Oreochromis niloticus: one gene and its partners. The protein of the gene in region 3 interacts with the protein of the main gene of each other region in a biochemical or structural test. Links are inferred from orthologs where the notes say so. Each region holds a gene or a part of one and is shown on either strand. Other genes may lie near its edges.

Region 1 (7,774 bases), on a different chromosome or scaffold from region 3:
GAAATGACACAGACACACGTCAGACACTGTCAGAATGATCAACTCAAACAATCTTTAAGATATAGATCTATATCTAGATCGATCTATCCATATACAGTTTTCACAAACTAATTTCACTTCAGCAGTACGCACCCTCAGTGTTACTCTTCAAGCTGTCAAGTGAATCATAAATTACTGTATCATTATGCAATTTGTTATGTGTTACATCATTAAGGACAAACCAGCTGTGTTTGTTAGTGTTGAAATCAGTGACTTGAAGATCTCCACCACTCACCATTTAGGGTGAGGCTCTCTCTGTAACCGCTGAGGTTGAGATGTGTAACACTAGAACTCAGATTATCAACGACGCTCTTTATGTGATTATTATCAAAGGTGCACCATGATAAGTTCAGCTGTTGTATACTGAAACACAAAATCAGAGCATGAGTAAATCTGAGGAAGAGGAGAAACTGAAACTGTGGTTACAAAGTGAATAAAGGACTGAGCAGCTGACCGGGAACAGGATTTCAGCATCCTAGCGAGCGCAGGAGCAGAGAAGGCGGAGCAGCCGCTGAGGTTGAGCTCCTGTAGGCGGGTGTTCTTTGCCAGACAGCTGAGTGAGAGAGAAAAAGAGATTAACAAATACACCCAAACATGAGCTCCAAACACACAGTACAGATTTAAGCTGAAACAGATTCAGAAAATGCATTTACTGAGAAGAATTTAGTGCTTTGCCAGTTTACAATCAACAGTTACAGCACGACTTTTCCACCTCTGATGAGGCTCTGCTACAAACAGCATCACTGACATGTTTCCCTCAGCATCTGAGGTCATGAAAAGCTCAGACATCTTTTTGAGAAGAGAAAAGCAGCTGCAAAGACACTGGGAATCAGTGACATCCCTGCTACACTAATCAGTAGCAAATAGTTCAGATCTCACCTGATGATGGTGTCAGAGAGCTGCAGACCCTCCAGGCTCAGACATTCTAGCAGTCTGCAGCGACAGATGAGGTCTTCCAGAGCCAACGTGGGTATGACTGAGTTTGACAGATCCATTTGAACCACCTGCAAAGAGCTGGATAATGGAAAAGAAAGAAAAGAGCATTTTTTTTCCACTTAATAAGTGCCACAGAACTTAATACTTAATAGAGCTCTGTGGTGTGGAGGAGAATTAAACATTAGACATTAGATAGTTTTCATTAGATTTTCACAGGCAAGGAAAACTCAGAGTAAGTCTTCCAGTGAAGAAGAAAATCAGGACACACCATGATATATGTGACTAACCCTCTGTATGTCAAGTGCAACTCTTCCACAAAGGAGCGAGGGCAGCGCAGTCTGCGGATGCCAGTCCTCAGCACCTGCTGCAGAGCCAGACCAGTGTGGGTCATCCCCTCTAGATCCACACTGTGCCACAGAGACTCGTCAAACCTGTGATGAATGGACAAGCAAAGAGGTGTCATGGAGGCAAACCCCTACAGAAGCCTGCAGTAAATAACCTGCACACAGCAACCCGTTCTGTTAAATGTGAATGTGGGTTTCCATTGTGTGTGTCATTGAGAATATTAAGCAGCACAAACTCGTCTATCTACCAGTTTGTCAGAATTTAATACTTTTGAATGTAGCCACAGATTTCCATATTTTTGAATACTCTGATAAGTGTCACGAGTTTAAACACACAGATGTGAGAAAGAACCAGAGGAGTGGTTTGAAGTATGCAAACTCAATCTTTAGGATCCGCCCCGCACTTAAAAAAAAAAAAATTTCAAGCGGGAAGAAGCAGGGCCAGAGATTTTGTTAATGATCATTATGACTCACGCCAAACGTTGCCAGCGCTTGCAAACTACAGATATTCTGACGAGGTCCTGGAGAGGGAGGCAGAAGAAAATCCTAAGAACAACCTCGTCTGGTAGTTGATCCCATGAAATGTCTGCAGAGGGAAGGAGAAAGGGGGAAAAAAAGTTAAGTTGATCACAGGTGAAAGTCCTCATCTTAAACCTCAGAAAACCATCTCCTCCTACTTGGTGAGGGGTCTTTCCTCCTTGATCTCCTGCCAAGAACAAATTGATTGCTGTCATTCTCCTTCCCCTTGCTGAAGAGCCGCTGTTTCTTGCGCGGTGGTGTGAACTGCAGGATGAGATCTGTTGGGGTCCACTCAGTGTCCAGGCCCTCGCTGAGAATGCCTCTGGACTTGCATTTGTTGCTTTTCTTGGGCTGAGTCAGCATGGAGTCCTGCAGACTAAGGCAGGGACGATCCTGCAGTGGGACACTGTTGGAAGCAGAAGTTAATCAGACATGTGGGCATGGTTAAACAAGGCTTCATCATGCTGTCTTACACGAACACCCCACAGAAAGGCTACTTAGCGGCCTAGCTTCCTCTAAAGAACCCCTCCATGCCCGCCATATTGATGTAGCTACCAGCGGTGTGACCGCGCAAACTGACTGCAAAACCAAACGACAAACACTGTCTCCTGTCTTTCAGTACACAGACACATGCAGGTGGTCCAGGACGTCCACTCCTGCTCCGCGGTTAGCTTACAGTGTGTACCCCGGGAAGAAAAGAGCCGCTGACAGGCGTGGAGGGAAAGCGCTGGGGAGAAAGCGCGCTATCGGTACAGTTTACACTAACTACGCTAAGACGCCGGCGGTTTACCGAACACACAATTTCGCATAATTCCGCCTTGTTCACACCGCTTTAGAAATGGAAAGCACAGTTTTGAGTTGGGACAGTTAAACAGCACCAAGCTAGCCTTGGGATGGCGGCTCATTTTCACATGTGCAACACATCTCAGAGATAACTTATGCACCGCTATACCTCAAATATTTTTAGTAACAGAATGTAAGAACCACTGAGAACGATACCTGTCGCCTGGCATTTCCTTCAACTCGAAACAAGTGCGATCCTACACAAAAAGTGCAAGACTGTTTGGATCGCAGCCCTCCAACCGAGACTCTTTAAATTCGCCGCCAACACTGGGGCGCCCTCTTTTCGTTACGTCACGGACGTGCCTGCACGTACATCGCGTTACGTCATACGCATTAGGGATTTCGCCAGGTGGCAGTTTTTTGAGTATATATGCAGTAGAGTTATGTGCCATATTATTGGCTTTAGAACGGGTGGAAGACATAATTTCAAAAGTAATAATAGTGATTCATTGTTAGCATTGTTAAGTATTGAAAAATCGTAGATTTTGTGTGTGAACAAAGCAAAAATATAGTAATAATGTGGACTCCCGCTCATATAGGTATTGTGGGTAATGAAAGAGCAGATAGGTTGGCCAAAGAAGCTATTAAAAAAGTAGATATTGATATGCAGATACCGTTGTCGAATTCTGAAGGGAAACGTTTGGAAAGAAAGTAAGAATTTATGGGAAATGGCGCGGGGTAATGAAGTAAAAGGGAGACATTTATATAAAGTACAAAACAGTTCACGTTACAAGAAATAGAGGTGTAAGTAGGCAGGAGGAGGTAATTATAATTATACGTAGAATAAGAAGAGGTCATTGTTTTCTAGATGGCACTCTTTTTAGGATGCGGAAACATCTTACTGGTTTATGTAATCGGTGTAATGCTCTGGAAACGATTGAACATGTGCTTTTTAGCTGCAGGAAGTATGTCAGTCAAAGGAGAATGTTGAGGGTAGAAATGGGTAGTACTACCGAACCCAAGTTTGAAATGGTGGTTGATCAGTTGAGTCATGATGAAGGGAAAGGAAAGACTTTGTTTTTTGAGAAATACTGGACTCATAGTACGCGAACTGCGCGTACTCCGAAGCGTGCGGTCGCCGGATTGGGACACAGCCATCAACAGGATCTAAGGGTATGGAAGTGATGTAGCAGTAAAACCCAGGAGATGGCAGTAGTACAACATCGTTGGATGCAAGCTGCTGTTATAAATGAAAGAAGAAGAAAAATTGTATTTTTAAGGCAGTAGGTAATAGGTCCTGATTATTAGCAGGTCTTTTTCCTTAGTCGTGCTTTAATAAAGCAGGGAAGCACTTGTGTTACCAACTGGGTCAAAAGACGTATGAAGTAAGATTAGGGATGTGTGCGACTAGTCGACTAATCGCGCTATTGTCACTAGTTGGTACCAAACTTACTAGTTGTTGTCCTAAATGTTATGCAGCCATTTGCCACCAGACGGTTGTTGAGAAACACCATACATAACTTAATATAGCCCTGATCTTTTTGCTATTAGAATGACACTGCAGATACAAATGGCAGAAAATAGCTTTCTCCTAAAGGTGGGCTTTCCCTTAGTGACAGGGTTCAGAATAGAGCCACTATTCTTCCACATCAAAAGGAAACGGCTAAGGCTTTTCCCGAATGGATAAGGTTTTCTGGCCAGACATGTCCTACTGGGAGGAGGCCCCGGTGCTGAACCGGGACACCCTGGAGAGATCATATCTATAGGCTGATCTGGGAAAGGCTGGATGTGTTCCCGGATAAGCTTGGAGGAGGTGGCAAAAGGGAGGGCTTCCCTGCTGTCCCCACGACTGACTTCAGATAAGGGGAAGAAAATGGCTAGATGATTTATTGTTTTGTGGTTTTAGATTTTAACTTTTATCGAAACGATTCTCAAATTTAACTAAATATCTGAGTGTTTCTTACTTTTAGACTAGTCGGTTAGTGTAATTTCTCAATTAGTTGAGTAAGAAATTAGTAGCTAGGAACGTTCCTAAGTAAGATCATTTTTTTACTATACTTTTCAGGGTGTCTTTGAATTCAGCACTTTGTAGGTTAATCATTTTCATTGCCATCAAACCGTGTGGTATTTTTTGGTTCCTAACACATTACATCCACATCAGTATAGATGTAGAGGCAGCATGATTTTTTTCTCATTGAGATCTAAGGTGTTTTCAACGTGTTCCTTTATTATTTATTTATTTGCTTTAGTATGGATGAAGTTTATGAACTGATGAGCCTCTGACACTAAATCAGATTAATGCATTCAAACAAATATTATTTTAAGTTCTTTCTGAAGAAGTAAATTATTTTGAATTTGAATAACTCCTATAACACCAGAGAGTTTCAGGAGGCTTCACCAGCAATATTGGACCAAAACATGACTGTAGAAAGCATCTTTTATTCAGTTATAGGTTTTCCGTGTTTAATGACTCAAGAGTGAGCATGTTCGAACCAGTTTATTTGATATTATGTAACATTCATTGTAGCTCAAGAGGTCAGAATTGTGCCATTTTAAAGTGTTGATATTCAACACTATTAAAATTTTCAGCGACTGATCTTATATGATATACTTATGTAAACAAAGTTGGCTTTTTTCCATTCAATTAAATTTAATTTAAATGGCACCAAATCGCAACGTTGATTGACGTTAATTAATATTAACAATAATTCAGTGTCCAACCTAACAACCATCAGGTCAGTGGCCAAGTGTTTTATTGCCCCATGTGTGTTTTATTTATTTTTTTGCTTGTACAAGAGCTTTTATTTTTATATTTTAAATATTAATGCAATTTATATTATTTCACTTTCAATCTAAAAATTGTTATGAAAGCCTTGAAATTAATATGGTCTAGTATACATCATGCCCTTCTTTACTATCACCCCTGTTCCCTTCCATGTAAAATAGGACAGCTGCTGTCAGCCATGATCAAGCTGTATAATTTAAACATAGTATCAGACTAAGTTAATAGTTCATCTGCATATTTTAATACAACTTTTTGAGACTTACTGGAGGTTTTTCTCTGAGTAAAACAGATGTTGGTGGATGGAACAGCTATAAAGTTTCCTTTTCTTCATGTCAGATGAAGGACTCCCGCAGCTTTTTACCAGATGACCAGTGCTTACCTGCTTACCGCTCATTCTTCGTAGTGAATCCTGTTTGGTGTGCCAGCTGGAAGTCCATCCCGAATGTTTGCCTAATCTACTCTCTCACACGCTCTTCAGAAATATTCTGGATATTCTCTAAACCATACAGGCTCAAATATATACATGTCTCCCACTAATCCCCTTCTTTCGACTTCTCCCTTTAGGGGTCGCCGCAACATGTCATTTGCCTCCATTTCAGTCTGTTCCACACACACATTTCAACCTATTTAAAGTTATTTATGGTAAATGGTAAATGGCCTGTACTTGTATAGCGCTTTACTTAGTCCCTAAGGACCCCAAAGCGCTTCACACTACATTCAGTCATTCACCCGTTCTCACACACATTCACACACTGGTGATGGCAAGCTACATTGTAGCCACAGCTGCCCTGGGGCGCACTGATTTATCCATCTAACAGTGTCTCAGAGGCTGTCTGTGATTTTGAGTATGGATATATAAGTATGGGAAGCACAAATATTTATAGTTTGGAAAAAATGATGTAATTCCACCTCAGGTCATATGTGCGTACGCTGTTATTTATAACTATTGACCTTTCTCCCTCGTTCTCACACATACACGCAGTTGTGCACTAAGGTAACAGTCCCAGACCCTGACAATGACTGACAGGAGGGACAAGGTGTGTCAGATTTTCAAAATAAAACTTTCTTATTGGAAGACTAGTATGCTTTAAAAATGTGAAATGTTCAAAATAAAAGCCCTCAGTTACAAAAAAAAAAGTCTCTGTGTATTTTTTTAATACAAGATAAGTATGTTTTTAAAAGAATGTAATTTTGTGACCCTAACTTACAGCAGACAATACATTGGATCAAGTTTGGGCAGCAGCAACTATCCCTAACTATTATGCAAAAAATTACATAGTCTAGTGAGCACGGTTCCACACTCTGAGACTGGACAATATCTTGGTTTGGTTAATAATTTTGATGCATACTTAAGAATATTCCAAACTGACAGGTTTTTCTAAGTAGTTATTTCTTGCCAAAACCTTATCCTGATTCAGAAAGTAACATCCAACTGCTGCAACTTTTTCATATGATGAAATTCCTGAAGCTACAATAGTGGTTCCATTTCTATTGTCTTCACATGTGCTCCCCAGACATAGCATTTTAATTTAAATTATCATTGTTATCTAAGTGATACAATTGTATAACTATATTTGCATATTCCCTCAGATTGATATCTTTCTATGTGTTTGATCCCTGTCCTGTTGATAGGTTTGTGATTCAGTGGTAAAGAGCAGATGTCTAGCTAAACAAACCGAGACACATGTAGCAGATCTGAGTTTATGTCAAGATCTGCAGCAGCAGATGGTGTGGAGCAGAGAGTGAGAACACAAATGCAGACAATGGAAGCAGGAAGTAACTTGAACAAAAGACAAACTGCTTATTCAGGCTGATTGACAAAACACAAAATAAGAAATCCAACTAAACACATGGGACATAGAGACACATGGGTAGGTTAACAGACGCTCCAACAAAGGAAGACAGAGAAAATAAATACGCTGAGGGGTGACAAGGGGAGTGGAAACACATGGGACCCGAGCAGGAACAAATTAGATGTAAAAAGGCAGGGGAAGTAAACTGGACATAATTCACATGAGAAAAGGATTAACAAAATAAAACAGGAAGTTTCACAAACTTGACACTAGGACGGGGATAAGCAAACACAGGAACACACGAGAGGCTGAGGAGTCAAGGATGAAACACAAAGAGAAGAACAGGTAAGGGAGACGAAACACAGAGTCAGACAAGGACAGAGAAGGAGATCCATAACATAGAGACAAAACACTCAGGACATGATAAAGGGAAACGCTAAACAACCTAAAATAAACCTTAATCAGTCGAGATAAAACATAATCAAAACCAGAAACAAAGAAAACTAAACTAGGAAACATAATCAAGATCAAAACAACAATAAACAAACACAGAAAAGAACTATGACAGTTTAGAC
Region 2 (7,166 bases), on a different chromosome or scaffold from region 3:
ATCAAAGAAAACAGGAAATGAATACTAAAACACTGGAACATTAACAAAACACCAAACATAAACCACGACTCAAATAGATAAACTTAGCATCTAAGATATGAAGTCAAGATCCTATCAGGAAATCCCAGAGGCATGACAATGACGACTGAGACCAGGAAAGGGTCACAATTATACAGCAATACCTCAGAACTTCCAAACCCTTATATAAAAATCATTAAAAATAAGCTAAACATTAAAAACTAAACACTATGAAGTTTAAAGTGTGAAGAGGTGAACAAGAAGTCCTTGACTATAATTTTGAAGAAGTGGCTGGGAAGTGCAGGTTTTGGAAAATTATATTACACAATGGAGTCTCGGTGATGTAATATACATTACTACTCCACAGACTAAAGCCTCATCTCTTCTGCTGAAGTTGTAACACTGAAATAGGAACACTGTCTGTATTGCATAGATTAGATCTGCACCTGCCCATACCTGTATTCACACAGAACCTGCAAAAACAAGGTGGAGTTTAAAAACCTCACCTTTCTCTTTGCATCATATCTTTTCAATCAGCAAACCACACCCTTTAAAATTCCTTTGTCATAAAAGGTGGTTTTCTCCCCCAGCCACCAGTGAGAACAAAGTCCATATTAACCGTGGAAATTATTCATTATTGTTTGAGTAATTCCTGTATTTATTACGTCAAAGACATTGAGCATGCCTGCATTGGGCAGTTATTTCCCTGTAGCAAATAAATCAGTTGAACAGTTTTAAATGTGCACGCCACGTCAGATCAACCAACACGATCGCTTCTAGTGCAGTTTTTTAATCCCGACTGAATCAAGTTTAACCCTCTTGGGTACAACATTGATCATAAAGGAGAATGAAAACCCACTAAAATGTATTAAATTGCACAAAAAATATGCAACCTTTCAATGGAAAAATGAACACCCACCTACATCTGCTGGGATAATGAGCTAGAGAGAGACACAGTCTCAAGGGTACACCTTGAGGTTGTTTTTTTTTAAGATGGCAGATGTTTTTCTAACATTTTGGAAATGAAAGTGATCAGGTTCTTCTTCCTTTGTATGAAGGCATTTTAGAAGAAGTTTTAACCAGAGCCATCGGAAAACACCACCATTGTTATTATTATTTTATATTTTTTCATGCAAACTTAGATTACTCCTATATAATACATGATTTTATTTACCTACAGTATAAAAGAAAATAAAGATTTCAAATAAGGTAACATAGACTTAATTCTTGGCTTGACTTACATGTGTTTGAACCCTTAAAGAACCCTTTCAAACCAGATAAATTATATTTTAAACTTGAGTTTGTCAGCTTGGAGGAAAAGTGAAGGTAAATTTGAAAAACAAGCATAATTACCCATGTAGCAGTAAGGTCTTCTTAAATGCAGGATCATCAGATTATGGAACCACAAATCATTGATAGAGTCTAACTTTTCCTTTTTTCATTAACTGGACAAATACAGAGAGAGCTGCACCTTACTGGAAAATCAAAAATAAGGTAAAACTTTGCATAGGTGCATTATAAAAAACACTCCTGATCTAATAGGGTCTGGCGAGAGCTTAAATGCAATAAATGATATGCAAAAGGAATATGTATGTTCTCACATTATGAGAGTAAATCTTGGGAGTTTCCATTTTCTATATGGGTACTTCAGTTTCCTCCCACAAAAACATCCTTACTGGGTTAAATGGTAATTCTAAATCGGTTGTAAGGGTGGTTTTGTGTCTCTCCATGTCAGTCTTGGGATGTAATGGTGACCTGTCCTGGGTTTTAACCTTGCTCCAACCCCCCTACCCGCTTCCAGAGCTTTCAAGATAATGTTTGAATCAATTTAGTTATTATACTGTTTGATACTTAAACACTGAGTGGCTGTTCTGCAAAGTTAAACAACTGTGAGGCCACTGTTGGTGTAACTACTATAACAGGTGCCCTCTGCACATCTGAGGCAAACAGCACCATTTCACCAGTGACAAATAAGGATGTGAAACTTCTATAATTTTCTGTGTCACAAACAACTTCTTTCCTACTGAGAACTGAGCTGAAAGTGGAAAGATTCCTGGCATTAGAGAGACTTTTTATTTTTTTATCAAATGACAACTCCTCCAGTGTTATTTTTTTTAATGTTATTAAAAAGGAACATGTCTATAATTACTTCACAAATGATTGACACTTTTCAGTATTTGCTCTGTTTGGTCACTGCAAACAGGAATCTGCTTCGGTCTCCACAATTCTTTTTACAATACTTAACACTTATATTTATGGGTAGATACATTTTTTTTAAATACAACTTTATTTGAAAATGTTTTATTTCAGAAAACACAGAGAAAGTGGAGCGTTATCCCTCCACACTTCCTGTTTATATTGGAAAAGAAAATGCAGAGCAAGTGAAAACAAACAACCACAACCTCAGCAGTTGCTCCACTTAAGTGGAATTTAAAAAAAACCCAAACTCTATTACAGTGATTACAAGCTAAATTTTGGTGTGTATGTTTAAGAAAATTTGGAAAAGGGAAGCCTTACAAGCTAAAAACTACATGAGTGTTAAAGGCCAATTTTAACTAATATTTTTGTCATTTATTTCCCTTTTCTGTCAAGGAAACATGGAACTCTTAAGTCAAAATGCTTTAAATTTTTTTAAGCTCTCATACATTTAACCAACTTAAATTGATGTGGAACAGCCACATGTGGAACAGAGAGCAAAATAAGGATCCTGAACTTTAAATCTGTGATTCTGCAACAATATAAATGGACTAGAAGTTTAACATTTTGGGGTGGAAAAACTTTTAAAATCCTATTTGGGAGCAAAGCAGACAAACTTTTTAAGTGTTTTTATCTGATTTGACTGGCGGTTCCAGTGACATCAATTCAATTTAGTTAATGCTAAAGATAGAGGCCCAAATAAGTCAAGATGGGTACTAAGTGTCCAAGCTTGCATCTAGAAGGAAAATTGATTAATATCCACCACTAATATGGCAAATGCATGTTATTATCAGTTAACAAAGTCAGTATGACCAGATGCTACAATACTGGTGCATCCATACTATATTAAGTGGTTTTAATGTATAAAACCATCATATTTTGCCAGACACTCATTATCTTCTGAATATTTCAGCATAAAAAACAGTTAATTTGAATGTGTTTTGTCCCCTAGCACCACTTTTTTCCACTGTGGTAATTCCTGCTGTAGTGAATCCAGATAAAGACAGGAAACCAAAGCATTCTGCCTGAGGCTTTTTGCCTGTTACATGTGTAATATACAGAAAATTCAATGAATTTGGGAATGATGAGGAATGATGTTTAAAACACTTCAGGTTGTTTGTCGTCAGCTTTGTAACCGGATCTCTCATCCAATTAGAAAATTAATTTGAAGAGAATTAAATCCCTTTGATGGGGATAGCTGTTTTTAAGAAAGTCTTGGATATGGCTTGGATGAAGTTTATCAGAACATACTTCTTTACACTTAAATTAAGGGATTTTTTATTTATTTATTTTTATTTTTTTTATTTTTTGTTAGATGAAAAAAAAATAACTTGACGCTCCTGATCTGGAGTTAATGAAGGAGAGAAAAAATCTGTGGGCGGGGGAAAAACAGTGAAGACGGGACAGTGACCGTAAGTCATACGCTTTTTTTCTGTGATGACGCACTACTACCCACTTTAAGTGAGAACAAACCACAACCACTTTACACAGTTTCACTAACTTAAACAGTTTTTATTTAGGACGGGGCTTTAGTTCTGCTCCAAATTTACTTATTGCTTTTCATCATATTATATTATATTATATTATATTATATTATATTATATTATAATACGAATTTAGCCTTTTGCATGAATTATTTTTCTTTTTACTATTTTTCTGTTCTGTACTTTTGGCCTTACGTATTTAAAGACCACACCACATATCTTACATTGTTTATTTGAGGCGTTTTCTTACATGTTTACAGTCTTTCAGATTTGAACCACAGCTGGGGGACACAGGAGAAAGACCCTGTAAAGAGGAAGGAACGCTGAAGTGGATCACTCATACAAGTTTTCTGAAGCTGAAACTACAGCCAGTGCAGTCCGGATTCTTATTGGACGAATTATTTGAGTCTTTGCCTGATTGGCTACTACTGTGAGCAGCAAGCGAATGCATTGGCCCAGTGAACTACTCCTCCTGCAGTCAGCCCCCGTGTCGTAGCTGTCCTCTCCTCTCAGCACAATCTTTGGCATATATTACGTACGTGTAAGGATACACTACATTCGTGAAAAAATGGCAGCTGACGAATAGAAAAAAAGTGGATCTTCAGTCGAAAAAAGAAGGCACTTGTAAGTTAATACTTCAGAATGAATGATTTGGAGTTTGGGGAAATTATCCGTGGAAGCTTCTCAATCCTGCCTACGTGCGATTCTCTCCGATAATGTGGAAGTAACTGTTCTCAGAGGGTTAACGCTAAGGTTAGCCAACCTAGTTATTAGCCAGCAGCGGTAGCTAGCATACAAGCAGTTCCAGTTGTCAACATTGGGCCTAGACTATTACCTGAAACCGTTAATGTTACGCAACAGAGAGCAGAGATGCATCATATATCATATATAAATCATATATGCAACAGTTTAAAACTCGGCGTTATGATAAATTAATTAAATTATACCTTCCTGCCTCGATATGTAGCCTCGCTAGCTGTTACAATCCAAGTTAACATTAGAAGGATGGTGGGTGAGGCGACATAACCAGCTGATTTGAGAGTAAAAATGAGAAAATTTACTTCTGGCTGTTGGTAATTATGAGGTTATAAATGTAGGTATTGTGAATAATAACCTCTTGGGTCGATGTAACGTTAATTTAGCTCATAGGCGGGGCGTTATTAGCGTCATTATAATAGGCATTCAGCGTGGCTAATATTACCTTAATGACTGAGACCGTGTTTCTACTGTAAACTTGAGGGGAGGGCACGCAGTTTTTATTTGCTGACCTAGAACAGCTGTTGTGCTTTCTTTATACCAAACTCACTAACTTACGGGACTCCTGGTGTTGGAGTTAGTTACATTTTACAGATGTTTTGGAAATGAAAATGTGGGAATGTACACAAAGTTGCAGACTGTGTCGTATGGGCTGTCCCACCACAGGCCCGGTTGTAGCTGAACCTCATGAAAAAAACCCACCCTGTACGAGGCTTCCTGTCTCCGTGGGAGTGACCCATTACTGGAAAACCACAATACTACGCGAAAGAGGTTCTGATGGTTTTTTACTTTACGAAAAAAGGTTGACTTCCTTTTTGCTAACCACAGTATCCTTTGTCTACCTTCATACTTTTACTATGTGGGCTATTTTTAGGGGCATCTCCACTATTCCTTTAAAACTATAAGCTCATGCCTGACCTCCTCAGAATCAAGTTTTTTTTAGCATATTAAATGCAAAATGTCAGTTGAGCTGATTAGTAACTTAAGGTCTGCTGATGTGAGGCCCTATTCAGATGCTGGCATCTCCTCTCTGTCTGAGATGACTGTAGATGTAAACAATTGTAAATGATCTCACATAAAAAGGAGCATAATGAACTAAAAGCTAATATTTAGAAGTTTAATTTGTTCCAACCCATAAGCAGCAGCTGCTATGATTATTTCAGCAGGCTGAGGAACAGCTGGAATTAACATCTGCACATTAGTTCTCTAAAAGAATAACACAGGGCATGGTTAATATAGACAGAGACAGACTCTCGAAACCTCAGAACAAAAGCCGTTCAGCCTTTTATTGTGTCAGTTCACAAATACTGTTACAGTCAGTGCCCACAGAGTAGCTGCAGTAAAAAAAAGATAAAGATAATTAAAGTTAATATGCACTGAAAGAAAAGGTCTCACCCTCCAGTCTGTCTCAACCTTAAAGGTGCACATATCATGGAATATTATTAATAACTGCTCAGTACTATTACACATATTGTACTTAACAGGTAATACTCGCTTTCAGTTCCCTACAGCCAGTTGGAAATTATGCAAATGAGGGAAAATCTCTGATGGATCAAGCAGAAGTAACAACTATTTATCGATACGCTAATCGTGTAACTAAGAGAGTGAGAGGGAACATCACAGCACCAAAAAAGGCTGCTGCAACAAACCTGAGCTGCACAGAAATTGAGATTGGATGGTAGAGATTTAAGAAAGCGTTACGTGAAATATGTGCCATGTGGGCTCTACCTGTTGCCTTGCCCTGATTTCATGGCTGAATACCTTCACTCACTCCAACATGGATCTGTCACTTCATGTTGATAATGGTGGCGTTACCGCTTCGAGGATCAGGAGGATTCATGTTTGTTTTTTTTGTTTTTCTTTCATTCTGCTGTAAGGGATGTACCAATCAAGATTTTCATTTTCTGATATCACTACCATAGATGTGGGTATCTGCTGACACCAAATACCTATCTGATACCCGTGATCAATAAATAACCTGCAACCCTGACACTGAGGAAGACTGGGACCATTCCCAAACAGTAAAAACCTGACCCCCAAACTGCTGACCGTTCTTCCATGCTGTGTTAGCTTCTTCTCGACGAAGAAGATGTCATATTTGCCAGATATTCAGTCCAGATACTAGATTGGTGCATTGTTTATTTTCTCTATTCGTTTTTTTTAGAGGTCTGCAGGCAGTCGTCTGCATTGCTTAAATACCCATAATACTTCACTCTCTGTAGCCAAATACCTGCACAAATAGATTTAGAAGGAGTGTAATAAATCAGGCTTTAGTTGTCCATCCCAGTTTCTCATTTGCTAAATTGCACATCTTTTATTCCTCTCTTTGAGTCTTATGCTACGTGCCATTTGAAGTGGGAAGTTGGAATTCCGAAATTCACAATCGGAATTTTCAGCTCAAACACTCCCTCGAGTGGGATGTTCTGGTTTGGACAATTTGCCTTGTTGTTATCTCAATATTTTTAAGGCGTTTCTGTCTTGTTTCTGTTCCAAATAATCAATTTTTGTGTTTTCAGGACAAACTTTCAGAGAATACGGAAACAAGTCGGGTGATCATCTGGCACCTTGTTCAACACCATAAAAGTGCCACATTGGTCATCTGTCATCATGGGGAAAACGCCGCTAAAAGGCAAGGACCTCTTATTTGTTTGAGGAAGCTGGTACTTGTGCTTATACAAAATGTAAAAAACAGGGTTTTTTTTCATAATGTGA
Region 3 (7,312 bases):
AATTAATAAACTTAAATCAACTTAGCTAACAGATTATGTTAGTTAAGCTAAAATAGATTCCTAAGTTAAAAGAACTACTAAAGTATTTGAATTAACTAAAAAACCCAAGTCAACTGAACTAGGACAAGAGTTTAAACAATAGATTATTTTAATTTAGCTGAAAGGGTTTTCCCAAGTAAAGATGACAATTAAAGGAGTTGAACTGACTAATAAATCTCAGTCAACTAAACTAAGATGAAAGTTTAGACAACATGTGATTTTTCATTAAGATAACAATTGGTTGTGTTATAAGAACAAACTCTATTTCTTGACTTAACTTAAAATTTTAAGGCAGCCCTTTACCTCATATTTTTAAGTTGAAACAACAAGTTATATTTTACAGTGTATGTATAGTTTATTACTGTCTTGTCACTGCTGCTAGTATAAGATTGGGTTTATTCTGTAAAACTTGAAGATATTTTATAAAATAATTCTGTTATTCTTTTTAGTTTATTATGTCAAAGTAAGTTGCACTCATGGGCCACTTCTTTAGTTACATTAGTTGCCTTAAATTTCCAATAAGCTGACTGATTTTGGTCCATATAGAAAACAAAACCAGATACATGGGTAGATTTGCAAATCCATTATGCAAATGTCCCGTTTCACCACATCCAATGGTGCTCTATTGGGCTGAGATCTGGTGACTGTGGACACATTGGAGTACAGTTGTTCAAGAAACTAGTTTGAGATGATTTGAGCTTTGTGACATGGTGCATTGGTCAGCAGCAATACTCAGGTAGGATGTGGTGTTTAAGTGATGCTCAGTTGGAACTAAGGGACCTAAAGTGTGTGAAGAATATATCCCTCCACATTATTACACCATCGACAGCAGCCTGAAGTGTTGATACAAAGCTGGAGCGTGGATCTATCCATTCTTTCATGTTGCTTACAAAAAATCCTGAACATACAACCTGAATGTGGCAGCAGGAATCGAGACTCATCAGACCAGTTTTTTAGTGTCCAGTTTTTATGACTCCATACCAATTTAAGCCTATGTTTCCTCCTTTTGGCTGACAAGAGTGGTACCCTGTGTGGCCTTCTGGTGCTCTTCCTCCCCTCACCTTCAACCGGTTACAGCAGATGGTTGTCCCTCCCTCAGCCTGCTTCTGTCAGAGGTTTCTTCCTGTTAAAGGGGAGTTTTTCCTTCCCAGAAGCACTTGCTCATGAGGGGGTGGGGGTGTCCTCTAACTGATGGGGTTTTCTCATATTACTGTAGGGGTTTTACCTTACAATGTAAAGTGCCTTGAGGTGATTGTTGTTGTTATTTGACACCGTGTAAAGAAACAATTTTAACTGAACTGAGTTGAATAACTTGAGTATAACGTGTGGTTATGTGAGTTTATGTTGCCTTCCTATCAGCTCGAAGCAGTCTGTCCATCCTCCTCTGACATCAACAAGGCATTTTCACCCAGAGAACTGCTGCTTGCTGGGTATTTTCTCTTTTCTGGACAATATTGCAAACCCTGGAGATGTTTGTGTGGGAAAATCCCAGCACAGCAGCACTTTCTGAAATGCACAGACCAGCCCATCTGGCACCAAATTCCCTTAAATCACTTTTCTTCCCCGTTCTTATGCTTACTTTAAACGTTACCAGGTAATCTTCACCGTGTCTACACATCTAAAGTTGCCGCCATATGATTGGCATATTAGATATTGACGTTAACAGGCTGTTGAACATGTGTACCTAATGAAGAGGCCGGTGAATGCTGTCATATATAGAAGTGGTCGATACATATAGTGAGTTTTTTGGGGAGGGGGGGGCTACCACAGGAAGGATATATTTAAATTGGATACAGGTACAAAGAGCGCATGAGTGAAATTACCCAGTGTAGTTCCATTTACTGTTTACGAGTTTCTCCACTTTTACTTCTACTTTCTCCTTCGCTGCTCTCTGCTCTGTGATGCCAACAGAAACCGAAACGTCGCGTGAGCTGTTTTAGAAATGGGAGGAAGCAAACGAGATGTGTCATTGTGATGTATCCTGGAAACGGGACAAGTACAAACGCCGAAGCGCTCTGTCATGCGCACTGAGAAGCAGGGAGAGACGGGGAGGGGAGGCTGAGCTGGGCTGTGTCCTCCTGAGCTGGAATTTCCTCTCGTCTTCGACCCGAGCCAAGCTTCACGTGTGCTCATGTGTTTACCGGGCCAAATCCACGTGTGCGAGTCCCCCGAGTCTCCGCCTCTGGAATGGAAAGGAGGGTACCCGTCCACCGGAGCTCATAAAAGTTTAGCAGGAGTCCGTGTCTGTAAGAAATCTTAGGAGAAAGTGTCACGGAGAAGTATTTTCCTGTGAATCTGTTGGGTTACATAGCATCAGCCTCGTCCGTTTATTTACATCAGAGCTGCTGTGAAGACTGGAAATCAGAAAAACAGCGAGAGAAGGTGGATAACAGTCAGTTTTCCCCCAGCAAGTTTGAAAAAAGGAAGATTTTTTGTCTTTGAATTAAAATGTAAGTAAAACTAAAAGTTTGAATTTTTGCGCTTTGGTGGTTTCACTTGTGATTGGCCTGTTAGTGTATACAAGTCTAAAAAAACATCGCTGTTTACATTATATGGCTAAACAACCTGTAATGTTATAGGAGCTACTTTTAGTTTCAGTCCTACCTATATGCTTTATCTTTTTTTAATTTTCATTATTTATTTATATATTTGTTCGTTTAATCCCATAAATTACACGTTTCCATGACTACCTCCGTCCCCGTGCTGTTGTTGGGTTTATGTCTTTTAGCTGGTTTCAGTGTATCAACTCAAAACTTTACCAAAGCTTCCCGCACGGTTGTTTTTAGGTGTGTGTGGTTGTGGTTCGTTGGTGTGCAGAGGTGGTGGTGGTGGTGGTAAGGGCTCCAGACAGTGACAGCGCAGTTTGGCCGGCCAGCACGAGCTGCAGCCTCACGTGGACCTGTGTAGTAAACTGGGCAGGGTCCGAGCCGGTTCCAGCGCCGCCCGTGCATGACTCGTTCTCCCGCCACTCGCTTGAATCACTCCGCCCTCTCCTCTCACGCCGCGTCATACGCGTGACTGAGTGGATGGAAATGGGAGGGTGTGAGGAGGATAGTGGCTACAAGCTGTGTGTCCACCCTCTCCCAAAGTGTTTCAGTGTTTCTGATGTTTTACTTCATTCTGGATGAATTGGATTTATTTTGGGCTCCCCAGTTCTTCCCAGTGTAAGGACCCCCACCCACCCCTCCCTGACCTTTGTGCTTGCAGGTCCACAGTTATGTAACAGTGGGTGGGAAGGGGAAACAGTCTGTGCCACTCTGTAGGATCCACCCTGCCTCAGTGGCATTTTTCAGCAGGTGAGGTTAATATAGTAGTAATGTAGTAGTAAAGTGCAGGATTTGGATTTATCCAGCCATTAGTGCTGTGCTATCTTGTATTGATCCACTATCACCGATACCAATACTTTAAACCTATAAAGGGGAGAACAGTGTGTCTTGATTTGTAAGGTGAATCGTCATCTGTTTAAATGTGTGCAAATTCTGAACACATTTTAACTTTCAGCTTTTTATGTGTTCTTAAATTGTGTGTGTTTGTTTGTTTTTTGAGAACTGGGATATATATCTAAAGCAGTTTGAGTCAGCTTCTGTTATTTAAATGTGCCATAGGTTATAAATAAAATACACAAAAAAGGTTCAGACATTTTTATCGCCCGTAGTATCGATGCAGTACCAATACCAACTTTGGTATCCATCCTATTGATATTTCAATCAATCTGTCACTTTGCATTACTTAATTTATGTAATATTATCAAGAGACCTTTCAGTTTTTCTCTCGTTATTCCATCTGAAAGCCAAAGCTGAGCGGGGACATCAGTGAAACCAGGAGCAATAGCCTGGCCCTTCACATCAGTAATAAACTACTGGGCACAAAGACACAAGCGCATTCCTATCAGATGAAAAACTATATATGAGCCTGATCTTTGGGCAATGTGTGTTAAAGTTTTGCTGTTGTTGTTTTGTCTCCAAGATTTCGTTGAGCTTAGAATGAATGAACTGCAAACCTTGGACAGTCGCCACATTTGTGGGATGATGTAACAGGCCATGTTTTAACAAGATTTCCAGCCAAGTCATTTTAAGGACTGTGTTTATTGTAAAGCTTTGTTGAAAAAACTGGACTTAAGGTGCCAGTGAACAGTTACCAGGTTGTGTTGATGGATTTGCTTCTCTGCCTTATCTGGATTTCTCTTCATCGTCATTATTTTCATCATTTCTATAAAAACTCAAATCAGAGTGACCTCTCCCCCTCCTGCTGTTCTCAGCTGGATAATCATGATGGGAACCGCTTCTCATGATTGTTCCCTGAAAAGAAAATCCTGGGAATTCTGCCCAGTCCTTCCCGGATGGCCTTAATGACATCCACCTGAGACACACCTGATTCCTTCCTGTAGCCTTCGCAGTAAAGTGTTTGCTGTTTGTATGTAAGTCCCGTCCAGATCAGCAGATGTGGAAATAGGATTCATAAGTCACCGCCTCGGATTTTTACTCTGCAGGGGGCCTGATACTGCCACCTGGTGGTGATTCTCGGTGTTTGCGCTCTCGGTCGCTACTTAGGACTTGTCCTTACATGTCTGGTTGAGATTATGCCCTGGCATGTACCAGTGATTCAGAGAGAGGGAGGAGCGCTCAGTGAGTCACTGCCTTAGTATAAAAAGCTGCCCAGCGAGACCAGTGTGTTAGTTCACTGAGGAGCTTTACGCTGGTTTGAAAGATGGTAAGACAGATTTTTACTTTCATACTCGAGGCAGTATCAAGTAACTGAGATGGATGCACTTGTAATGGATTACAGAGCTCATTTTGCTTGGTTTAGAATAAGACTGGAGCTGAGGTTCCTCTCCTCCAGAGAAGTCACTGCATGTTTTACTTGTGCAACATTTCATCAGCACTGAGTGTCCGGGAGGATTCGTCTAATCGCTGGAGATGCTTAATTAATGGAGACAAAATTAACTTTCAAATATGCCATGTCTGGTTTATTATTGTTGCTACTTTTTAAAGCAAAATGCCAATCAGTGTTACTGTAACCAGAGATCTTCTCTCTGTTTTCATCAGTGTAGAGTGATGGCTTCTCACAAGCGAATCTTGGGGGTACTGAGAAAAAGACCAGCCCGGAGAAACCTGTTTGGGCCTGTGGACCGAGAGCAGCTACAGGTGGAGTACCAGGCCGCCATGCGTAACGACCTGGAGGAGGCTTCAAAGCGGTGGGGCTTTGACTTTAGCTTGGACAAGCCTCTGGAGAGCAGCGATTTCCAATGGGAGGGTGTCCCGAGCACTAGGGTGCCTCTGCTCTACAGGTCCTGTATGCAGGGTCTCGGACAGGCTGAAGGCCACAGGTCAGCAGAGACAGTTACTCCCAAGAGAGGAAGGGTGGAGACGGCACAGAGCGAGAAGGAGAACATCCCCGGTATGCCGGAGAACTGCATGCACGGCCGGGAGATGCTGGAGAAAACACCGGAGAAGGGCGAGAACACCGGGCTGAAGAGGAAGCAGACGAACATCACAGGTACGTGTTCCAGCTGAAAGCGAGAAGTCTCGTCATTTCACGTGAGAGTGCACGAGCTTAAAATTCCTGCACTTTATCCCAACAGATTTCTACCAGGCTAAAAGAAGAGTAGTGTGGATGCCCCGCAAATCCGGCGAGTGATATTCGGTGGAGAAACGCCAATATTCCAAGAGAACCACCCAGACAGGGCCACGCTCAGGAATCACACGTCCCGCACAGACTCTGGCCGTGCACCCAGGAGGGACCTCAACCACACGTCAATACAAAACAGTTAATTAGGGTACTGCAGTCACTCTGAGGAGATTGGTGTTTTTTTCCCTCAGTGGCAAGAATGCGACATTTGAGCAGAGAAGATTAACAGTAATCTCTGGAATCAGTGGATTTACACTCATTTGGGGGGGGGGATGCCAAAGTGTTGCCCGACTGCACATTCAGCCGCACTGAAAGGACAGTCACATCCGCTGGAGATGTGTCCATTAAAATCATCCAGTCTGATCATGTTTTTAAGGTGAGAAGACAAAGCTCTTTGGCTCCATAGTTCAAATCCATGATTGTTTTTCTACAGCATTTTTTCTACATGTGTATCACAAGGGCTTACCAGTCATCTTCTTTTTTTTACTGTCTAAAGTATGTCATACTTTTTATGTCCAGCTGTACACAGTGCTTTTATCGACAACCATTTAATCAAAGGAAGATGCTTGAAGAGTTCTGACATCTCAAACATGCAGTTGCTTTGCTTAGATTATAAAAGACAGAAGTGCCATCATGTCCTCTTCCATCCTTTTCCATCTACTTTACATCAGCTGATTTTTGATGTCCTTTGACAGCCCGATCCAGACTCTGATACTGATAATGTTGGCTAGGAACACTAAAACACTTTTATTTAGTTATATATGTATAAGAGGTATATCTATAAAGTTAAATATGGTATTGTCAGGTAGCATAATCATTTAAACTGCAGTGTTGCACATAAACACCCAGTATCAAGTGCCTTTACTGGCATTTGTTTTTGGTATTTAAAGCTCCTTCATCAAAAGCAAATGTATTATTTAGTAAGCTAAAATGACACATTTATTATTTTCTATTCACCGTGCAATCTAACTAATGATGTGTTTTGTTTTTGGTTTTTTTGCCTTAATTTGTTCTTTTTTTCCCCCTCTTGGCACTTATTTATGTCTACATTAGCAAATTCTGCTGCTATGGGTAATATGAATGGGTGTCGAGCGACGTCGCTGTGACGCTAACCCTCACCAACAGAGAGCTTTGAAATGCTCCGAAGCCGAGAAAATAAGCGAATGACCCCAAACAATGATTGCACTTCTGTTTGTAGATGCTTTCCTCTGTATTGTGTTTTGTTCAAGGCTGCAAGTGAAAATCTCTGTACTTATTTATTGTGAGATACGATGTCATGTGTTAATTTAGGTTTTGTTTAATTATTATGAAATCCAATAAAATGGTCAAATGAACCGCCTTGTGTCTTTAATGTGTCGTCACTTTACTTTTAAGTAGCAACGGTAAAACTATTACTTAGTTTGGCTGAACCCTTGCAGTGTTGTATCACAGTACAATTTCTCCATTAACGCCATTATACAATCACTAGCCACTTTATTAGGTACACCTCGCTAGCACCAGGTTGGATCTCTTTTTGTCTTCAGAAGTGCCTTAACTCTTTTTGCACAGATTGAACAGGGTGCTGGAAACAAACCTCAGAGGTTTTGGTCCATGTTGACATGAAAGCATCACACAGTTGGTGCAGATTTGTCAGCTGCATATCCAG
Region 4 (7,064 bases), on a different chromosome or scaffold from region 3:
ATACCTTTTTTGCTGCATCTCATGTCCCAGACCATAATATTTCCATCTCTGGCTCCAGTGGAAAACACAGCTGTGTGACAAAAGAAAATGTATTAATCACATGATACAACAATATATCATCAATGCACAACCAACACGGTGTTAGCTCAGTAAAAGGTATACCTTTCTCCTCTGGTGCAAATGCAACAGACTTAAGACTGCAGAGGTGGCCCTTGAAGCTGCCTAACAACTCTCCAGACTTCACATCCCAGAGCCTGGCCATCTGGTCACCCGCAGCAGTTACCTGAAGAGATCACAGATGACCAAAGCATAATAAGAAAAGGCTTCAGAGTTTTTAATGAGTTCCAACAAAATAAAGAACAAAAAGAAAAATTAGTAAGGTAGATGGAATTACATGAGTCATGCATTTGAGGGTGACGCATAAAGATCTGACTTTCTGCAATTCTCTGACTAAACAGAATAAATTTGCACTTACTAACTGAGCCTCCCCTGGCATCCAGGCGATATCAAAGACAGCATTCTCATGAGCCAGCCATGCTGCAAGGTTCACACACATTTAGCCACCGACATTTCAAAATACATGACATGACAATTATGAACACAAGTCAAAAGAATACCTTTAAGAAGTGGATATTTACGGCTCTCTGTGTTGTAGAACCTAACAATGCCTTCTTCATTAGCTACTGCGAGGATGTTCTGCTGGTCCCTGGCTGAAAACAAACAGCAGAAACGAGACACTGCAGTTAGACAGATTAATGATAACAGGTCCTTGCACTCACAATGATAAGCACAAATGAATTACCAGAGGAGAAAGCTAATCCAAACGGTGGCACAGAGTCGCCAAAGTTCCCATAGGAGATATGTTCATCATGTCGGACACATCGGTAGCCTTCAAGCAGGGAGCTCAGAGGGTACCTGGACCAGGGATCTGCAGGGAGAGCTGAAGAGAATGATGCATGGTCAGAGGAGGGAAATCAATGAGACACAGCAGTAAAACTAACGGAAAAATCATTGCAGATTTAAGTGGACAATCATCAAACTGCTTTGAGCTGATATTAAGGCAACTGTAACTCAAATAACCACTTGTTACAATTAAGATATGCAGAAGAGCATCTCTGAGCATGCAACACATTGAACCTTGGAGTCATTGCAGAAGAAGACTACACCAGCTGCCGCTCCTGTAGGCCAAGAACAGGATCCTGAGGCTGCTATTCACACTGGATCAACAAAATTGGACAACAGAACACTGGAAAAACATTGTCTAGTCTGAAAAGTCTCGATTTCTGCGGTGATGTTTGGATAATAAGTTCAGAATTTGATGTAAACAGCATGAAAGCATGGATCCATCCTGCCTTGTATCGACAGTTCAGGCTGCTGGTGGTGTAATGACGTGGGGGGTATTTTCTTGGCACACTGAGTATCATGTTGTTGTTGCTGACCATCTTTTATGAACACGGTGTACCGATCTTCTAATGCAGGGGTGTCAAACATACAGCCCAGGGGCCACAACCGGCCCGTGTAAAAATGTCAAAGAATGCCTAAATGTGGATTTTCGGTTTGTACTTGTGAACCGATCACGCCACGAGAGTCCAAACTGACGGTCCAGAGATTTGACTCATTGTCATTTTTACAGCCTTCTTAGTAACAAACAAATCACCCCTGACCTGCTATACTATACCAAAATAAGCACTAGACACCATTAAAAATAAAATAAATGAATAGAAAACAGAAAATTAGCTGGGTTTTCATTATAAACGAATCAATGGGCAAGTTCCTATTTTATTTAACAGGAAAAAATAGGATGTATTCTTTGAATTACCAGAAGATTTTGAGGTTTTTTTCTTTTGGGACCATTTACTATAATCACCTGTATGTGTAATGAATTTAGACTGGTAACAGTGAGGCTCATATTTTATATACATATCCTTAAAATTTTCATAATATACTCAAACATCTTCCCACTTTCCATTAGTCTGGTAGTCTGCAGCAGCTTGGCCTACTTCAATTTTATCTATACGTGACCTTTTACTACGTGACACCCTTGTCTAATGGCTGTAATGGCTGCTTTCAGCAGGATAACACCATGTCACGGAGCTCACTTCCTCTCAGACTGGTTTCTTGAACATGACGATGAGCACACTGTACTCAAATGGCCTCCACAGACGCCAGATCTCAAGCCATTGGGATGTGGTAAAACAGGACATTGCATCGTTGACGTACAGTCGACAAATATGCAGAAACCGTGTGATGCCATCACGTCAATATGGATCAAAATATCTGAGGGACGCTTCAACCAACTTGTTGAATCTACGCATGGAAGACAAAAGAGGGTCCAACCCAGTGCTAGCCAGGTGTACCTAATAAAGTGACCTACGATCATAGATCGGCACGCTCATCTTCTCACTTGCTCTTGAGTTGTATAAACCAAAGCCAATCAAAATGTGAGAAACTGTCCTGATATGTACTACAGGTATAAGGCAGGACATATTGTTGATCTACCACCCGTTGGAGTCTGAACAGCCCGACAAAGACATTCACGAAGAAAGTAGAGTTAAACGTTAAAGTCCACACTGAACGCAAAAGAAAAGCAAGTGCAAATGATACTCTAGGAGCCCTCCTGGCAGCATGACTCCTCCAAATATAAAGCAGAGATGTTAGACTGCATTATCTTCCATGGTAGACTAGCTAAAGCCCAGCCATGGCCGTGCAGATAACCCAGATCTCCCCAAAAACCCATCCCTGTCTCACCATTCTGCCTCCGTCTGCCCACTCCTCTGTCCACCACTGAGCGGAAAAGCATCCCTGCACTGCAGCACAACTCGATCCTAAGGCTTTTGTATAAAAACGTAACGTTTTCCTCGATGTTTAGCTACTGGTGGTCCGCTTTCCCTACCGATGCCGGGACACTGTTTCCCGCGAATAGATCGTCCGAGCAGAAGGACTGAATTCCCCGCTAAACTTGCGTTACGCGCAACCATTGGTGGAAACGGCGACTTCCTGGGCAGGAGCGCTTCTGCTTCCGCTTTCTTTGTAAAGTTTCCCACCATAACTGGAGAAGGAGACGCCCCTTCAGCATAAATAAATATTTTTTAAAACGATTAAACTAATAACTAGCCCCTCTTTGCATAGTATGTTTATCCTGTTAGACAGTTGTTAGTTTAGTAAATACACTTTGTTGTATACAACCACTGCCAAACAAATGCTGCATGTATATGGTGCATTTAGTGGTGCAAGTATGTGTGACAACACACAATTTCAGGTTGTGCGCAGTGTTGAACTAGAAAATGAATATCTGTGACTGCAACAAAAGTTATGAAAATCACAAGTAAAAATGTTCTTTTCAACAGAAGCACTAAAGTAACAAAGGTTTAAAAGTCACCATGACTATGATATCTCCAATGTAACTGTTGTTATTTAGAGTATTATGGTGTTACCGATTCATCCATAATCTATCATTTGATGCTAAGGTGATACTAGAATAATATACTAATACATATTTCACGTAGATATTTAACGTAAATCTATTTTATAAATAGTCCCTAAAACAGCTTGGTAGCTCGCGACCATGACAACTGGCGTTTTATTGTGAAAGTCAATCTCCAGACCGGATGTTCTGTCTCTGTATCCTCAGTGTTTTCCTGAATACCGCCTGAACAGTGAAATGCTAATATCTCATGAGTGTATCTTCTTTTAAGGGGTAAAAACTGCACAGTAATGTCGCTCTCCACCGCACGCTCATTCCTGTCAGAGGCTTGTTATGGCGAACAGGAGCTCGACGCTAACTCCGCTCTCATGGAGCTGGACAAAGGTGTGTTAGCTCGCTGGCTAAAGACTTAGCATATGGTTCATTGATTGTGTTCTGATCCGGTGTGTCGTTTCCTCGTAATGTGTTAAGTGGAAGCTTCCTGCTTTGTTGTGACTGGAGCATTTCCACTTTATTTTCAGGGTTGCGGTCGGGGAAGCTCGGTGAGCAGTGTGAGGCTGTGGTTTTGTTCCCCAAACTCTTCCAGAAGTACCCATTTCCCATCCTCATCAACTCTGCATTTTTAAAACTAGCAGACATCTTCAGGCTCGGGTATGATTGCTTTAGATGATCATTTATTTGTTAAAGGCTACTTTACTGACAGTTGTTTCACACTTTCTTTATAGCTGAATCTAATACAGGCATCCCAATGCATTTCAGAGTGTAGAGAAAATTTTAATAACATCTCTAAGTAATTGAGCGTACAGTTTAACCACAAGCCTAAGCCGTCAAAAGAAAATGTAAACACTATTCGCACACTCATGTAGTTCACATAATCACTCCCAAGCTAATGCAAAAATAAAATAAACAAACTCTGAAACACCAAAAAATAACAGATAATAGATTTTCTTCTTATATTTAATGAATAATTGCGTGTCTTTGATGTCTCTAATGAACTTGATGTTTATCAATCTTTAAAAGTACAAGATACTTTAAACTAAGCATACCCAGTAAACTGATCATTGAGGGCAGGCCTGTTAATGTGTTATTGTGTTGTGTTTGAACTGTAGTGAGATATTCAGGGAGTATCTGTGTATTTTATTTTACTTTAGAAAATAAAAAAAAAATTAAGAAAAGTATGAATAGATGTAAGTACAGAGGGAAAAATGTTGGTGTGAGAAAGGTTTTAAAAATAAAAAAACTATAATTATTCTTCATGAAAAAAAAGAAAGGGAAAAAGTTGACGGAAAAGAGAGAGAGAAGGTTCCAAATAAGAGGATTTGGGGAAAAAGTGAATTTATTTCACTTTAAGAAAGAATAAGAACTATTCTTACTTAAGTGGATTTTTCAAACTTTAATTTTATTCAAAAGTGCCTAAATAAATAAATGTGCGCATCTTATGCACTTTTTAATAGAATGTTTTTGAAGTTGGTAAGATGTATTTAGAAGGTGCGAGAAGTTAAAGATGAGCTTTACTGTGCCACAAACATCTTATTTCTCTTTTCCAGTAACAACTTTCTGCGTCTCTGTGTACTCAAAGTGACTCAACAGAGTGAGAAACATTTGGAGAAGATTCTCAATGTGGATGAGTTTGTGAAACGGGTGTTTTCAGTCATCCACAGTAATGACCCTGTGGCCAGAGCCATCACTCTGAGGTAACAATGTGAAATGATGATTAAAAACGCGAGTGGCGCATCTGACCCTATCCCTAGCACACTCTTCTGTCAACCCTCTGCATGTCCTCCTTCACTACATCTACAAACCTCCTTTGTGGCCTTCTTGCCTGGCTTTGGCATCTTTTGTGCAGTGTATCCAGTGTCATTCCTCTGCACATGTCCAAAACATCTCAGCCTTGCCTCTCTAACTTTTACTCCAATATGCCCAACCTGAGCTGTCCCTTCTTTCCTATCCTGTGCATTCTCTGTAAGAATCGTAACATCTTCATCATACATGTTAGCAGATCTCACTAACATCTTGCAAAACTTCTGCTTCACTCTTGCTGTTATCCTTCTGTCACAAATCACCCCAATACTAGTCTCCATCCACTCCACCCTGTCTGCACTATCTTCTTCAGTTTTGTTGTGCACCATCTTTTCAGTCATCTCAGATTTTTAAAAAGAAAATTCCTGCTGTCTTATGTGTTCAGGATGCTTGGTAGTTTGGCCTCCATCATCCCAGAGAGGAAGAATGCCCACCACACTATTCGCCAAAGCCTGGACTCTCATGACAATGTGGAAGTCGAGGCAGCCATCTTTGCTGCTGCAAGCTTCTCTGCACAGTCAAAGTAAGGAAACAATGACTAAAAGTGAGCTCTGATGTATGGGATGATGTTTTAGATGATTTTATTGTTGTGTGGCTTTTTAATTAATTTTTATTTTTTATTTTCAGAGACTTTGCAGCTGGAATTTGCAACAAAGTTAGTGAGATGATTCAAGGTAAGATCTTTATTCTTTACGTGAAGATAAACGAGAGCTGTCGTGGTTCAAAGCTTCATTGTCACTGATGTCTTTTATTTTTAATTGTCACACTAAACTGAGTACAGCCATTAAAATTATTCTTTTTTTCATTCTGAAATCACGGAGAAAAAGAAACACAAAACACTGCAAATACACATTTTGCTGAACCCAAAGAAAACATTTGTCACGTGCACTGCATCTTTTACATAATGTTTGTATTGGTCTTTTCTTCCACCTCAGGTTTAGACACTCCTGTGGAACTGAAGCTGAAGTTGATCCCCATGCTGCAGCACATGCATCATGACGCCAGCCTGGCGTCCAGCAGCAGAGAGCTTTTACAGCATCTGGTGAACTCTTATCCTTCCACCCCCATGGTCATTGTCTCCCTGCATACTTTCACCCAGCTGGCCGCCTCTTCCCTCATAGATATCCCCAAGCAGGTAGACCCAACTTGCTCGCACACAGCTATGTGTCATTTCTTTTAGTTTGTTGTGGTGCACCTCTGATTTGGTTCCTAATCTGTTTGCAGCTGCAGCTCCTCCTTCAGTACCTAAAAGATGATCCGAGAAAAGCTGTGAAGAGACTTGCAGTTAACGATTTAAAGCTCCTGGCTAAAAAGGCTCCTCACCTGTGGATAAGAGAAAACACTCAGGTAGAGCCCCAGATGGCAACAGTTGCACTGTAGGGTTGTTGTGATGTTTAAAATCGGTCTGCAATCTAACAGCTTTTATCTCTGCAGATGCTGTGCGAGTGTGCTTTGACTATCCCCTACAACAGTTTGAAGCTGGGGATGTTGGCCGTTCTCTCCACCCTCTCTGGAACTATTGCAATCAAACAGTATTTTAGTAATGTGGGAGGTAATGTTTATGCTTAAATCACTGCATTTAGGAAACAAAGAATGCCACTCTGAACTGATCTGCATTCTCTAAAACTTTTCTTCTCAGGTGGCTCTTTGGTTCCACCCCGGCTCACTGACCTGGTTAAATTGGCACAGGAATGCTGTTACCACAGCAACCTGGCAGTAGCAGCTCACGGGGTCATAGTGCTCACCAACATTGCCATTTCCTGTCCGGAGAAAGGTTAGTTAAACTGGGCAATAACCTATTTGGGGGATGCTTTTAATTCTTAATCAGTGTGGTAATATT

Evidence for each region.
Region 1: of the proteins of cdkn1a (region 3) and skp2, one has a biochemical effect on the other in vitro, tested with the Homo sapiens proteins (3 studies listed by BioGRID). The link is inferred for Oreochromis niloticus from reciprocal best matches to the Homo sapiens genes CDKN1A and SKP2.
Region 2: the proteins of cdkn1a (region 3) and sex comb on midleg-like protein 2 form a complex in vitro, tested with the Homo sapiens proteins (2 studies listed by BioGRID and IntAct). The link is inferred for Oreochromis niloticus from reciprocal best matches to the Homo sapiens genes CDKN1A and SCML2.
Region 4: of the proteins of cdkn1a (region 3) and dtl, one has a biochemical effect on the other in vitro, tested with the Homo sapiens proteins (3 studies listed by BioGRID, with this or other methods). The link is inferred for Oreochromis niloticus from reciprocal best matches to the Homo sapiens genes CDKN1A and DTL.

The regions. Positions count from the first base shown.
Region 1 is NC_031972.2:8,165,854-8,173,627, forward strand, and holds the start of skp2 (S-phase kinase-associated protein 2), read right to left. Parts: upstream 3,004-7,774; 5' UTR 2,852-3,003; coding exon 2,838-2,851; intron 2,245-2,837; coding exon 1,997-2,244; intron 1,906-1,996; coding exon 1,794-1,905; intron 1,407-1,793; coding exon 1,263-1,406; intron 1,054-1,262; coding exon 919-1,053; intron 593-918; coding exon 494-592; intron 403-493; coding exon 275-402; intron 1-274. UniProt on the Homo sapiens protein: Substrate recognition component of a SCF (SKP1-CUL1-F-box protein) E3 ubiquitin-protein ligase complex which mediates the ubiquitination and subsequent proteasomal degradation of target proteins involved in cell cycle progression, signal transduction and transcription.
Region 2 is NC_031986.2:36,477,356-36,484,521, forward strand, and holds the start of sex comb on midleg-like protein 2, read left to right. Parts: upstream 1-4,165; 5' UTR 4,166-4,322; intron 4,323-4,349; exon of another isoform or gene 4,350-4,451; intron 4,452-5,120; exon of another isoform or gene 5,121-5,225; intron 5,226-6,970; 5' UTR 6,971-7,061; coding exon 7,062-7,083; intron 7,084-7,166. UniProt on the Homo sapiens protein: Putative Polycomb group (PcG) protein. PcG proteins act by forming multiprotein complexes, which are required to maintain the transcriptionally repressive state of homeotic genes throughout development.
Region 3 is NC_031970.2:21,861,573-21,868,884, reverse strand, and holds cdkn1a (cyclin-dependent kinase inhibitor 1), read left to right. Parts: upstream 1-4,604; 5' UTR 4,605-4,746; coding exon 4,747-4,749; intron 4,750-5,084; coding exon 5,085-5,535; intron 5,536-5,620; coding exon 5,621-5,676; 3' UTR 5,677-6,791; downstream 6,792-7,312. UniProt on the Homo sapiens protein: Plays an important role in controlling cell cycle progression and DNA damage-induced G2 arrest. Involved in p53/TP53 mediated inhibition of cellular proliferation in response to DNA damage.
Region 4 is NC_031980.2:13,633,541-13,640,604, reverse strand, and holds the start of dtl (denticleless protein homolog), read right to left. Parts: upstream 3,018-7,064; 5' UTR 2,801-3,017; coding exon 2,749-2,800; intron 941-2,748; coding exon 803-940; intron 711-802; coding exon 618-710; intron 538-617; coding exon 476-537; intron 284-475; coding exon 163-283; intron 71-162; coding exon 5-70; intron 1-4. Other genes in the region: ints7 (integrator complex subunit 7), read left to right, coding at 3,715-3,808, 3,946-4,075, 4,972-5,118, 5,610-5,747, 5,852-5,898, 6,160-6,359, 6,449-6,571, 6,659-6,776 and 1 more. UniProt on the Homo sapiens protein: Substrate-specific adapter of a DCX (DDB1-CUL4-X-box) E3 ubiquitin-protein ligase complex required for cell cycle control, DNA damage response and translesion DNA synthesis.